Linked DNA regions of Oryctolagus cuniculus. The protein of the gene in region 1 binds, or shares a complex with, the protein of each later gene. Links are inferred from orthologs where the notes say so. Each region holds a gene or a part of one and is shown in the gene's direction. Other genes may lie near its edges. The genes, in order: KCNMA1, LRRC26 and KCNMB4.

Region 1 (3,646 bases):
GTTGTCTGTCACCCTAGGACCTGGTGGGGTCTTTTCTCCTCCTAGTGATTTCCATTAGCACTCAGCCTGTTTTGACAGCAGGAGCTGAGCACCAAGGCCACCATTGAGCTGGGGCAAAGCCTAATCCCCGTGTTGAGGAGCCAGTCTCGCCCCCTGCCCCATGGAGGGTACCTTAGAGACCTTCCACCCTTACCCCTCCCTTACAGTGAGAGGCTGACTCCTCGGAGCTCTCATTGCTGCTGGTAGAAAACGGGTGCGACCCCAGAGGAAAACTGCATTATTTTCTGATCCCTAAAATCCCACTGGTTGGGTGCAGGCTGTTAACCACGTTGGGTTCTTTGGCCACGGTCCCTTGACACAGACTCTGCAACCCGGCAGACACCAAGACCAGCTTTTACAGATAGGTTCTTCACCCCCTTGGAGCTCCACGTGCAGGCACGTAAAAATGATGTTTCTCTGTTCTTTCGTTGTCTCCCAGGACGGCGGTTGTTATGGTGACCTGTTCTGCAAAGCTCTGAAAACCTATAATATGCTTTGTTTTGGAATTTACCGGCTGAGAGATGCCCACCTTAGCACCCCCAGCCAGTGCACAAAGAGGTGAGTGTGCCCACTCTGCTCTCCCACCTAAGTGCCCCTTGCTAGCCCCGACCATAAAGGCAAAGGACCACGTAGGCACGCGCTTGCAACATGCAGATCACTGTGGCCACCTTAAATCACCCTGAGGTGGGAGGTTGTGGGAGACATTTCTCTTTACTTCTAATAGCTGGATGTAAAAGCCTTGTGGCAAGAATCCAAGTTCTGTAAAACAGTTCGCTTGCCCAGTTACAGAAGTCTCCCAAACCCTGGCTACTGGATAACCTCTGTGGGTGCCTAACAGAGCTATTTCACATCGCTGGTGTTTAAGATAAATGGTTCCTTTGCCATTTCTTAGAATCCTATATGCTTTACTGTGCATATTTTTAATTGATTCACATTTTTACTCTTATATATTTATTTTTAAGAAAATTGTATATTATCACCCTAAGCAGACAAATAACAGTTTAGGCATGCTGGTTACATTTTTTCTAATATGCATTAAAGTAAATTCATAGCAGGCAAAAATTAAAAGTGCATCCTAGAATTACTGAAATCAATGAGTTTGCATAATATACCCCAGGAAATAATGCCATAGAGAAGAGTGTTTCCCAGCTCTGTTTGCATTTTTTAATCACCTGGGGAGATTTTTAAAAATACTATGTTTACCCTGATTTAACTGGTTTGGAGCAAAAAAAAAAATTGCAAATGAGAATACATCAAAAGGTTCATGGAAAATGGAATTAAAATCTACGTTTATTTTGATGCAAACAGTTTTTTAAATCATGCACACGAGTATGCACACATGTGTAAAAATAAATAAGAATTACATCTATATGATGCCCAGGAATTGCGGAGTACAGCCAGAGCTGGGGGCCACTGCTGTCTGTCAGTGGGTTCTCACAGTTTAGGGCGAGTGAGCATCTCCTGAGGACCTTGTTGAAACAAGAATTGCTGCGCTCTGCCCTCAGAGGTGACGATTGAAGAGGAGTGAGGGTCTCAGTTGGGTGGGCTAAGCATTGGCATTCTTCACTTTGTTGCTTGTGTCCTTTGCCGTGCAATAGCTTCTTAGCATCATGTAATCCCATTTGTCCATTTTTTCTTGTATTTCCCAAACTTCTGGGATCTTAGCCAAGAAGTCTTTGCCTAGGTCAATATCTTGCCGTGTTTCTCCCATGCTTTCCTCTACTAATTTGTTGGTGTCGGGACTTAGGTTTAGGTCCTTGATCTACTGTGGGTTGATTTTTGTGTAGAGTGTAAGGTAAGGGTTTTGTTCCAGACTTCTGCATGTGAGATTCAATTTTCCCAATGTGATTTTTTTTTTTCTTTTTTGGAAGAGACACTGTCCTTTTATCAGGGAGTGAATTTAGCTTGTCAAAGATTAGTTCTTGATATCTGGTATTGCAATGCCTCTGGTTTTATTTTTATTGTTTAAGATTGCTCTGGCTATTCAGAGTCTTTTGTGTTTCCGTATGAATTTTAAGATTGTTTTTTCTAGGTCTAAGAAGAATGTCCTTGCCATTTAATTGGGTTCACATTAAATTTGTAAATTGCTTTGGGTAGTATGGACATTATGATGATATTAATTCTTCTAATCCATGAACATAGAAGATTTTTCCATTTTTTGTGTCTACTTCTATTTCTTTCATGAGTGTTTTGTAATTTTTCTTGTAGAGATCTTTCACATCCTTGGTTAACTTTATCGCAAGTCACTTAAATTTTTTGTAGCAATTGTGAATGGGACTGAACTTACACGTTCTTTATCAGTCAGAGTACTATTGGTATATAATAATGCAACTGATTTTTGTATGTTGATTTTGTATCCTACAACTGTGCCAACTTCTCTTATGAATTTCAAGAGCCTCTCAGTGGAGTCTTTTGGTTCCCTTACATAAAGGACTATGTTATCTGCGAATAGGGACAATTTGACTTCCCCCTTTCCCTGTATTCCTTTAACTTCTTTTTCTTGCCTGATGGCTCTGGCTAAGAGGCAAGCAACACAATGGGAGAAAATATTTGTACACTATGCATCCGATAATGGATACATATCCAGAATATATAAGGGGCTCATGAAACTCAAACATCAAAACAAACAGCTCAATTAAGAAATGGGCAAAGGACATGCACAGGCATTTTTCAAAGGAGGAAATACAAATGGTCAACAGATGCATGAAAAAATGCTTGGGATCACTAATCAATAGAGAAATGCAAGAAAAACAGCAATGAGGTATCTTCTCACCCCAGTTAGAATGACTATCATCCAAAATATCAAAAAATAAAAAATGCTGGTGAGGATGTGCAAAAAAAAAAAAAAAAAAAATGCCCTAATCCACTGTTGGTGGGAACATGAATGAGTACGACCATTAAGGAAGACAGTATGGAGATTCCTCAGAAAACTAAAGATAGATCTACCACATGACCCAGTTATCCTACTCCTGGGAATACATCCAAAGGAAATGAAAGCAGCATTTGAAAGGGTTCCCTGCACTCCTGTGTTTTTGGCAGCTCCATGCACAATGGCTAAGATATGGAAGCAACCTTAGATATATTTTAGCTGATAAGTGAGTAAAGAAAATGTGGTATGTATACCTGATGGACTATTACTCAGCCATAAAAAGAATGAAATCCTGACATTTGTAGCAAAATGGATGCAGTTAGAGAACATTTTACTAAGTGAAATAATCCAGGCCCCAAAACAAAATACAATTGCTTTTTTTTTGTGGTAATTAACATATATAGAGAAGACAAGATGTCAGATCATTTGGATTATAGTTATAAATGTTACTTCACTGAGTCATAGCATGTAAATGACAATATATTCTTGTTTCACACGTTGAGAAAAAGAAATGGAGTGGACAGGAGTAGTAAGGACTTTGGGGGAACTACTAATGTTGTGTTCCTAATTTGGATGTTGGTTATAAGGGTGAGCAGATGACCAAAAACTCATTGATCTGTATACTTAAGTGCCTTTCTTGATACATATGCTGCATTTTAAGAAACTATTTTAAAAAATAAAAAAATGGATGTGCATTTTAAGAGTGCCCTGGTGATGCTGATGGGTTGGTCTAAGGAC
Region 2 (3,737 bases), on another chromosome or scaffold:
GCGTGGCTTGGGGCCTGCTCCCGGCAGCTGGGCTCCCCTTGGGTGCAAGCAGCCGTCCAGCCCTGGCCTTTGCTGGGGGTGTGGCTCGGACTCTCCGGCAGTAGCTCACGAGGGCAGCCAGGCACAAGTGCGTTCCTCGGCCCCTTTGTGCCCCAGCCCTGGGGGAGGCAGTGCCGCGTCATCAGCTGAACGCCAAGCCCCCCCCCCCCCCACGCAGCCTTGGTGCTGCCGGGCCCCTGTGTCCTCCGTGCCAGGAGCCGGGGTTCAGGCAGCAGCGTCCCGCTCCCCACCACTGCTTCTGCCTCAGAGCTGAGCAGGGGCCCCAGGCCCACCCTACCTGCCCCTTCCCAGGGCCACCTCCTGGCACTCCGGGACGAGTGACCCTGCCCCCCCACCCCCGGCCTCACAGCCCCACTGTGAGGTCAGCGCCTTCCGACGAGTTCCGTCCAGAGGTGTGCGGTGGGGCTGGGGGTTGGACATGGCCCTCTGTCCCCAGCCCGACTCCTGCCTGGCCGGCAGTCCCCTGGGCAGTCCCCTGGGCCTCCTGGGCTTGTCCCTGTGGCTCGTCCCTGCTGCAGGTGCCTGCCCCCAGCCAGGGCTCTCCCCTCCCGCAGGGTGGGCACGCTGTGTCCTTCCGGTGGCCGCCGGGGACCCAGGCCCTCCCCAGGCAGGTGACCGGGCCTCGGCCTCACGGCCCTGTCTCTGCAGCGGGAACCTACTGCGAGTGCAGCCTGGGCCTCAGCCGGGAGGCCCTCATCGCCCTGATCGTGGTGCTGGCGGGCGTCAGCGCCAGCTGCTTCTGCGCCCTCCTCATCGTGGCCATCGGCGTCTTCCGAGCCAAGGGGTGCGTGGGCCCCTGGGGCTGGGAGCCGGGGGAGTGAGGCCCTCGGTGTGCACGCGCGGGGGGCAGCGCCGGGGCTCAGGACTCACGCCCAGCCTCTCTCCTCAGTGAAACATGCCCGGGACGCGTGGACAGCAGGTGAGTGCAGGGGCGGGCCAGGGAGCCTGCAGTGTGGACAGCACCGCCCCGGGGCGCTGACCACACCCGCGTCCTGCAGGTTGGTGGGGCGCTTCGGGGTCCAGGAGGACCGCATGGACCTGCACACGGTGCACGTGGAGTCCCACCTCATGGACCCCGACATGGAGGTGTCGATGATCACCCCGCTGGAGGACCAGGGCCTCCTGACCATGGACCCCTCTCTGGAGGACCCGCCCCCACCCCCACCCCCGCCCCCTGAGTAGGGCCCTAGCTGCCGGGAGGGGATTAAATGGTATTTAGTGGTGGCGCTGTCCTTGCTGGCTTCCCCACATGTGCCGCGCCCATAGCCAGGGTCACCTTTATCTCCGCCCGGGGCAGGGTCCCCCCCCCAGGAGTCCCCAGCTCCTTCCTGTGGCTCTGTCCTGTGAAGTCTGGGGATCCTGGGGCCCTGCCCATCCCATCCCCCCTCTGCCCCCCAACACAGGACCCACAGCTGGAAACATAAAAGGACACCTGGCCCAGGACTTGGGCTGGAGTCCCTCCTGCGCGCCCACACCGTCCCCTCCAGATCCGGGATTCCTGGGGACCGCGGGGGGGGCACCGCCCCCTCCATCGCAGTGCCTGTGCCCTGAACTCAAGCCCCCACCAGCCGGCTCACTGGGTGGGAACGTCCGTTCTGGGGGGCACCGCTTGGCTCAGCCTGAGAGGGGCACTGGGTCGCATTCTCCGCGGAACTTCCGCCTGCTTGGTGGGTGCAGCGCTGCTGCTGAGGTCTACGCTGGGGGCACCGGAGGTGGACGAGCGGGGCGGGGGCCGGTCTGGTCGGCGCGGCGGCTGGCGCAGAGTCACGAGCCCGGAGCTCCGGGACAGGTGGCTGGCGGTGCTGGGTGTTGGCTGCGAGCCTGGCCCCCGCCCCAGGCGCGGGATCAGGCTTGGGACAGGAACTACGGGTGCCCCGGTCAGTTTAGTGTTGGTGCAGGCGCCGAAGGGACGGGTTCCCAGGACGCAGGGGCGCCAGGCCTCCCGCCTCGCACCCCCCCCCCCCGACTGCCCCCATGCGAAGTCCATCATTCTCCTCGTGGCCGCCGCCACTGCTGCTGCTGCTGCTGCATCCGTGGCAAGTCTGCGCGCAGGCGCCCTCCCTGGCTACCTCCTCGGGGGTCTCGGGCGCCCCGGACTGCCCCGAGGCGTGCGCGTGCGCGCCAGGCGGCCAGGCCAACTGCTCGGCACTCGCGCTGTCCGCGGTGCCGGCGGGCCTGAGCCGGCGAGTGCGCGCCCTGCTGCTGGACCACAACCGCTTGGGTTCGCTGCCGCCCGGCGCCTTCGCGGACGCGGACGCGCTGCTGCGGCTGGACCTGCGCGAGAACGAGCTGCGCTGGGTGCACGCGCGCGCCTTCTGGGGCCTGGGCGCGCTACAGCGGCTCGACCTGAGCGCCAACCGGCTGGAGGCGCTAGCGCCAGGCACCTTCGGGCCGCTGCGCGCGCTGCGCACCCTCTCGCTAGCGGGCAACCGGCTGGCGCGCCTGGAGCCTGCAGCACTAGGCGCGCTCCCGCTGCTGCGCGCGCTCAGCCTGCAGGACAACGCGCTGTCCGCGCTCTCGCCTGGCCTGCTGGCCGGCCTGCCAGCCCTCGACGCGCTGCGCCTGCGCGGTAACCCTTGGACCTGCGACTGCGCGCTGCGCCCGCTTTGCACCTGGCTGCGTCGGCACCCGCGGCCCGCATCAGGTGAGCCGTGCGGGGTGCCGGCCAGGCGGCTCGGGCAAAGCTGCGGCCGCCGCCTGACGCCGCCTGTGTCCCGCAGAAGCCGAGACGCCGGTCTGCGTGTCGCCGGGGCGCCTGGCGCGCAGCCCCCTGGCCGCCTTCCCCGACGCCGCCTTCCGACACTGCGCGCGGCCGCTCTCCCCGCGCGACCTGGCGATGATCTACTTGCTCGGTCCCGCGTCCTTCCTCGCCAGCCTGGCCGCCTGCCTGGCGCTGGGCTCCGCCCTCACCGCCTGCCGCGCGCGTCGCCGCCGCCGCCAACGCACTGCTGCCCACCGCCCGCCAAGGAGATCGTTGGACCTCGACCCCGGCGGCCCAGCCTCGCCAGCGAACGCTGGGAGCCCCGCCGAGGCCTGAGCGGGCGCCCCCCCCAGCCCCACCCCCGCTCTCCCCCCACCGCCCCTGCCCAGCGCCAACAAGCGACACAGGCCGAGATGTCGTGACATTCCTTTAGGCATCACCACTGCACACCACGTGGGGCGGGGGGCACACGGGCCGCGCGGGGAGGGCTGATGCTGTACAAGGCGGCGGGCGTGCGGGGCAGGGTTGAAGACAGTCCTGAGCCGGCGTCTGCGGAATCCGGTCCCGGCAGCCGGCCCAGAGGAGGCTCAGCCTCTCGCAGTCCGGAGGGGGAGGCCTGGGGAGGCGGCTGCCCGCGGCAGAGCCAGGACGCCCTGGGGGCAGGGCAGGCAGGGCCAGCCGGTGCGTCGGGGAGGGGAAGAAGTGGCGCGGGCAGGGGTGGCCCCGGCGGGAGAAGGTGGCGCTCAGCTGCAGCGGCCAGCCAGGGCCGTGGGCCCCCACTGGGGCTCAGGGTGGTTGGTGGCTTGGGACGGACGGGCTGCCGGCCTACGCCCCCCAGCCCCTGGCCTGGGCCCACTGCTCAGAGACCCCGGGGGCCCTGCCTCTCCTGGAGCGCCCGCGGCCCTGCCCAACCGGCTGGGCTCTGGCCGTCCTCAGCCGCTCCGGTCGGCACCTTGGTCCAGCAGGGGCTGCCCGC
Region 3 (3,230 bases), on another chromosome or scaffold:
AGTCACGGCACCATTATGTCACTCCCCCTCTTCGTGGAGGAGCAACACTAAACCCTGCCTAGGCTTCATATCCGAGTCACGGCACCATTATGTTGTTGCTCCCCGTCTTCGTGGAGGAATGACACAGGACCCTGCGCTGTTCTTTTGTCTGCTTGGCCCTTCCTGGGTTTGTTGCTGGTTCTTCCCGGGTTGGCTACCGTCCCTTCCACCTCCGTGGAAGGGCGGTTCCCCCTAGCCACTTTCCCCACTTCTGCGGGGGAGCGGCACACCGCTGGCCGGCTCTCTCGGGGGCTGCACAGGTGTTCCTTCAGATAGATGTTCCTGGTGCATGTTGTCTCTCTCCTCCTTTATAGTCCTCTTCCACCAATCCCAACTCTGCTACCCACACGCCGAGTACGCTGCTCTCCTCCAATCAGGAGCAGGTCCTACAGTTTATTGGTTGAACTGGAGGCAGCTGTGTAGAAGCTGTTACTCCCTTCTCAGTGCCATATTGTGGGAGAGCAGATGCATAGAATAAGTCTTAATTCCAGTAACTTAGTCTAGTCCGAGTTGCTCCCCACACCTATGAATCTTTACATGGATATATGCATTCATATATACACATAAATTAATGGTAGCCCAAGTCTTGAAGACAGGTGTTCAGAAAATGGGGTAATTTCTGCAAGCTGGGGTGATTTTTATCTAATTGTTACCATGACTCTGCACTCTATATAAATTTTAATTGAAATACTGTCAAATAAAGTATCAATAGACATCTCACTTTGTGTGCAGAATTTAAAAAATGCAAAGATTAGGTAATTTCAAAGCCAGTCTGCAAAACTCTTGCTGTTAATGCCACATGATAGTGCCACTGGAGGCACAACAGAAATACTCGGCATCTTTCTTCAGTCTTCTGGGAAAAGAGACTCTGAATTCTGAGAGCTATGACTAATGGACACTCCTCAGGAATGCATTTCTCTGTTAAATGCAGGTCCCGTGGACTCTGGAGTCTTTGATGTTCTTGCAGGCAACTGGACTGATTATTCTGCATTATTTTCTTCTTTTTCTGGAAGAAGTATGGCTACCCTCATGTAGCAGACCAAACCTTCCTGCAGATATCATGGAAATTTCTTGCAAAATAGAAACCTCTTATGGGAAAGCTAAGCGCCATGATCTCTTGCTAATCATCAAAGATGAGAGACCTTGGCCTATGGGGCATACCTCTTCCCTCTTCACTTCCTGTCCGTGAGGCCATGCAGAATTGAAAAATAGATACTGGTTCTATGTCAATATTTGACATTGATCAAGATCAAAATTTATTGCTGAAACTTTGCCAGATTTGTCATGAAAAGGATCAGTGGCTTAAGAAGAAACATGAAAACATGCTTTCAATCCAGCTATTGTCTGCTTGTTAATAAAAAAACTGAGTTGGCCTGAAGGCTACACCATCTGTCTTTCTGACCAATTCAAATAGTGGCTTGAGCTGACTTTTCTTTTTGAGTTCAGATCATTTGGGCCTCATGTAAGCGCTGAGGTCTAGTTTGGGTTTGTTGGCAAATGTCTACCCATCAATAACTGATAGGCTGATTCAAGTCCTTTGACCAGTGAATGCTGCAAGATGAGAAAGTAGAAAATGATAAGCTACCTTGAATGGAGGAGAATATAACAGCATGAGGTTGTTAGAATTTTGACATTTTGCAGCATGCAAATTATATTGTACATAATCTGCACATTTGCACCAATTACTTGATTCAAGAGCGAAAAGCACCAAATGTAGTATTTATAGTCAGAGTGAGATCTGTGATTTCGATGAAGAGTCTCCCTTTTGGGGCTGGAAAGCGAATCTGGCTGCAGGTTGTAAGTTTTCAGTGCTGTATCAAAGCGTGTGACCGCTCTCTCCTCCCACTGTCTTGCAGACCAGACGACGTGCTCCTGCACCGCACGCACGATGAGATCGTCCTCCTGCACTGCTTCCTCTGGCCCCTGGTGACATTTGTGGTGGGTGTTCTCATTGTGGTCTTGACCATCTGTGCCAAGAGCCTGGCCGTCAAGGCAGAAGCCATGAAGAAGCGCAAGTTCTCGTAACGGGGAGCAGGCCCGCGGGGAACAAAGCACAGAAGCTGCACTTGCTGGCACACGCCCACCTGCAGAGCCCGTGTTTCCTGGTGCAGGCGACGGAGGGGGCCGCGACAGGTCTCCGAGAGGCTCCTCCCTCCGTGGCAGCAGAAGCAGGCACAGTGGAAGCCTTGGAACCTCATCGCTTGTATTCTGTGTGTCTCGCCATGGCTGAAGGGTCAAGTTCTGAGCTGTATGGAGTAACTGTTTCAGAAAACCCAATAAGAAGTTCATTTCTTTGGAAAGTAACAGTATATTCTTTGTATAGTGTAGTATACAAACTATTATGATTTATGCTACTTAAAATATTAAAATAGAGTGGTCTGTGTTCTTTTCTATTTCCTTTTTTATGCTTAGAACCCAGGATTAAAAAAAAAAACCTTGTGGTTTATATTTGATTCTGCTAGATTAAACTTTTACTTGACAATGAGAATTCCCGCAGAACTCTTGACCTCACTGTATGACCCTCAGGTTCCATTATTAAAAAGAGTCTTTTGCTTCCTGCTTGAAAACAGGAATACTGTGTTGGTAACTTGGTCTCCAGGAAGTTCTGTGTCTCATAAGCACGGGACCCTCAAAGGCTGGGGAAATGCATCTACCAGCACCTGCCTTTGCCAATCCAGAGCTTTTCCTTAGATCACGTCTTAAGAGCTGAGAATGGGGGCGGGCATTTGGCACAACAGTCCACACCCTGTTTGAGACTCCCTCATCCCATATCAGAGTGTGTGGTGTTGAGTCCTGGCTCTACTCCTGATTCCAGCTTCTTGATAACAATGCACACCCTGGCAGGCAGCAGGTGATGGCTCCAGTACTTGGGGCCCTGCTACTCACATGGGTCACCTGACTCGTATTCCAGGCCCCTGGCTTCAGCCTGGGGTAGCCCTGGCTGTTGGTAGACATTTGGGAAGTAAACCAGTGGATGGGATCGATCGATCTCTCTCTCTGCCTTTCAAATAAATAAAATCACATAAAATTTAAAAGAGGGAGGTGGTTCTTAAGAAGGCCTGCCCCTTGGGGCCAGAGTTGTGGCGTAGTGGATTAAGCTGCCACCTCTGATGCTGGTATCCGACACGAGCACCTGTTTATGTCCTAGTTGCTCCACTTCCAATCCAGCTCCCTGCTAATGCACCTGGGAA

The links.
Region 2: the proteins of KCNMA1 (region 1) and LRRC26 are in contact, whole or in part, in a cryo-EM structure (PDB 7YNZ), measured with the Homo sapiens proteins. The link is inferred for Oryctolagus cuniculus from reciprocal best matches to the Homo sapiens genes KCNMA1 and LRRC26. Residues at the interface, in NP_001154824.1 of Homo sapiens: Pro78, Cys79, Asp80, Ser81, Arg82, Gln84, Trp88, Ala92, Ser93, Val96, Thr97, Glu155, Trp158, Met159, Ser161, Val162, Trp165, Cys206, Leu226, Leu227, Phe229, Gly230, Leu231, Phe233, Ile234, Asp251, Phe252, Pro256, Phe259, Val260; in NP_001013675.1 of Homo sapiens: Gly204, Cys205, Gly206, Cys207, Ala208, Arg236, Leu237, Ala249, Phe250, His252, Cys253, Ala254, Gln255, Leu257, Arg260, Asp261, Leu262, Val264, Val265, Tyr266, Leu268, Gly269, Pro270, Ser272, Phe273, Ser276, Leu277, Cys280, Leu281, Leu283.
Region 3: the proteins of KCNMA1 (region 1) and KCNMB4 are in contact, whole or in part, in a cryo-EM structure (PDB 6V22), measured with the Homo sapiens proteins. The link is inferred for Oryctolagus cuniculus from reciprocal best matches to the Homo sapiens genes KCNMA1 and KCNMB4. Residues at the interface, in NP_001154824.1 of Homo sapiens: Phe98, Phe99, Leu102, Phe103, Leu106, Leu107, Arg109, Thr110, Tyr113, Leu114, Thr116, Val117, Asp238, Leu240, Trp241, Leu244, Pro327, Trp328, Asn330, Gln332, Leu367; in NP_055320.4 of Homo sapiens: Thr11, Glu12, Ala13, Glu14, Lys16, Ser17, Leu20, Leu24, Ile34, Phe35, Cys38, Trp39, His105, Thr164, His165, Val183, Leu186, Ile187, Leu190, Thr191, Ala194, Leu197, Ala198, Lys200, Ala201, Met204.

Annotation. Positions count from the first base shown.
Region 1 is NC_091446.1:67,887,908-67,891,553, reverse strand, and holds part of KCNMA1 (calcium-activated potassium channel subunit alpha-1), read left to right. Parts: intron 1-478; coding exon 479-597; intron 598-3,646. UniProt on the Homo sapiens protein: Potassium channel activated by both membrane depolarization or increase in cytosolic Ca(2+) that mediates export of K(+). It is also activated by the concentration of cytosolic Mg(2+).
Region 2 is NC_091432.1:237,465,762-237,469,498, reverse strand, and holds LRRC26 (leucine-rich repeat-containing protein 26), read left to right. Parts: upstream 1-1,415; 5' UTR 1,416-2,034; coding exon 2,035-2,704; intron 2,705-2,780; coding exon 2,781-3,097; 3' UTR 3,098-3,173; downstream 3,174-3,737. Other genes in the region: TMEM210 (transmembrane protein 210), read left to right, coding at 479-578, 709-844, 950-979, 1,059-1,242. UniProt on the Homo sapiens protein: Auxiliary protein of the large-conductance, voltage and calcium-activated potassium channel (BK alpha). Required for the conversion of BK alpha channels from a high-voltage to a low-voltage activated channel type in non-excitable cells.
Region 3 is NC_091442.1:72,991,721-72,994,950, forward strand, and holds the end of KCNMB4 (calcium-activated potassium channel subunit beta-4), read left to right. Parts: intron 1-1,895; coding exon 1,896-2,064; 3' UTR 2,065-2,606; downstream 2,607-3,230. UniProt on the Homo sapiens protein: Regulatory subunit of the calcium activated potassium KCNMA1 (maxiK) channel. Modulates the calcium sensitivity and gating kinetics of KCNMA1, thereby contributing to KCNMA1 channel diversity.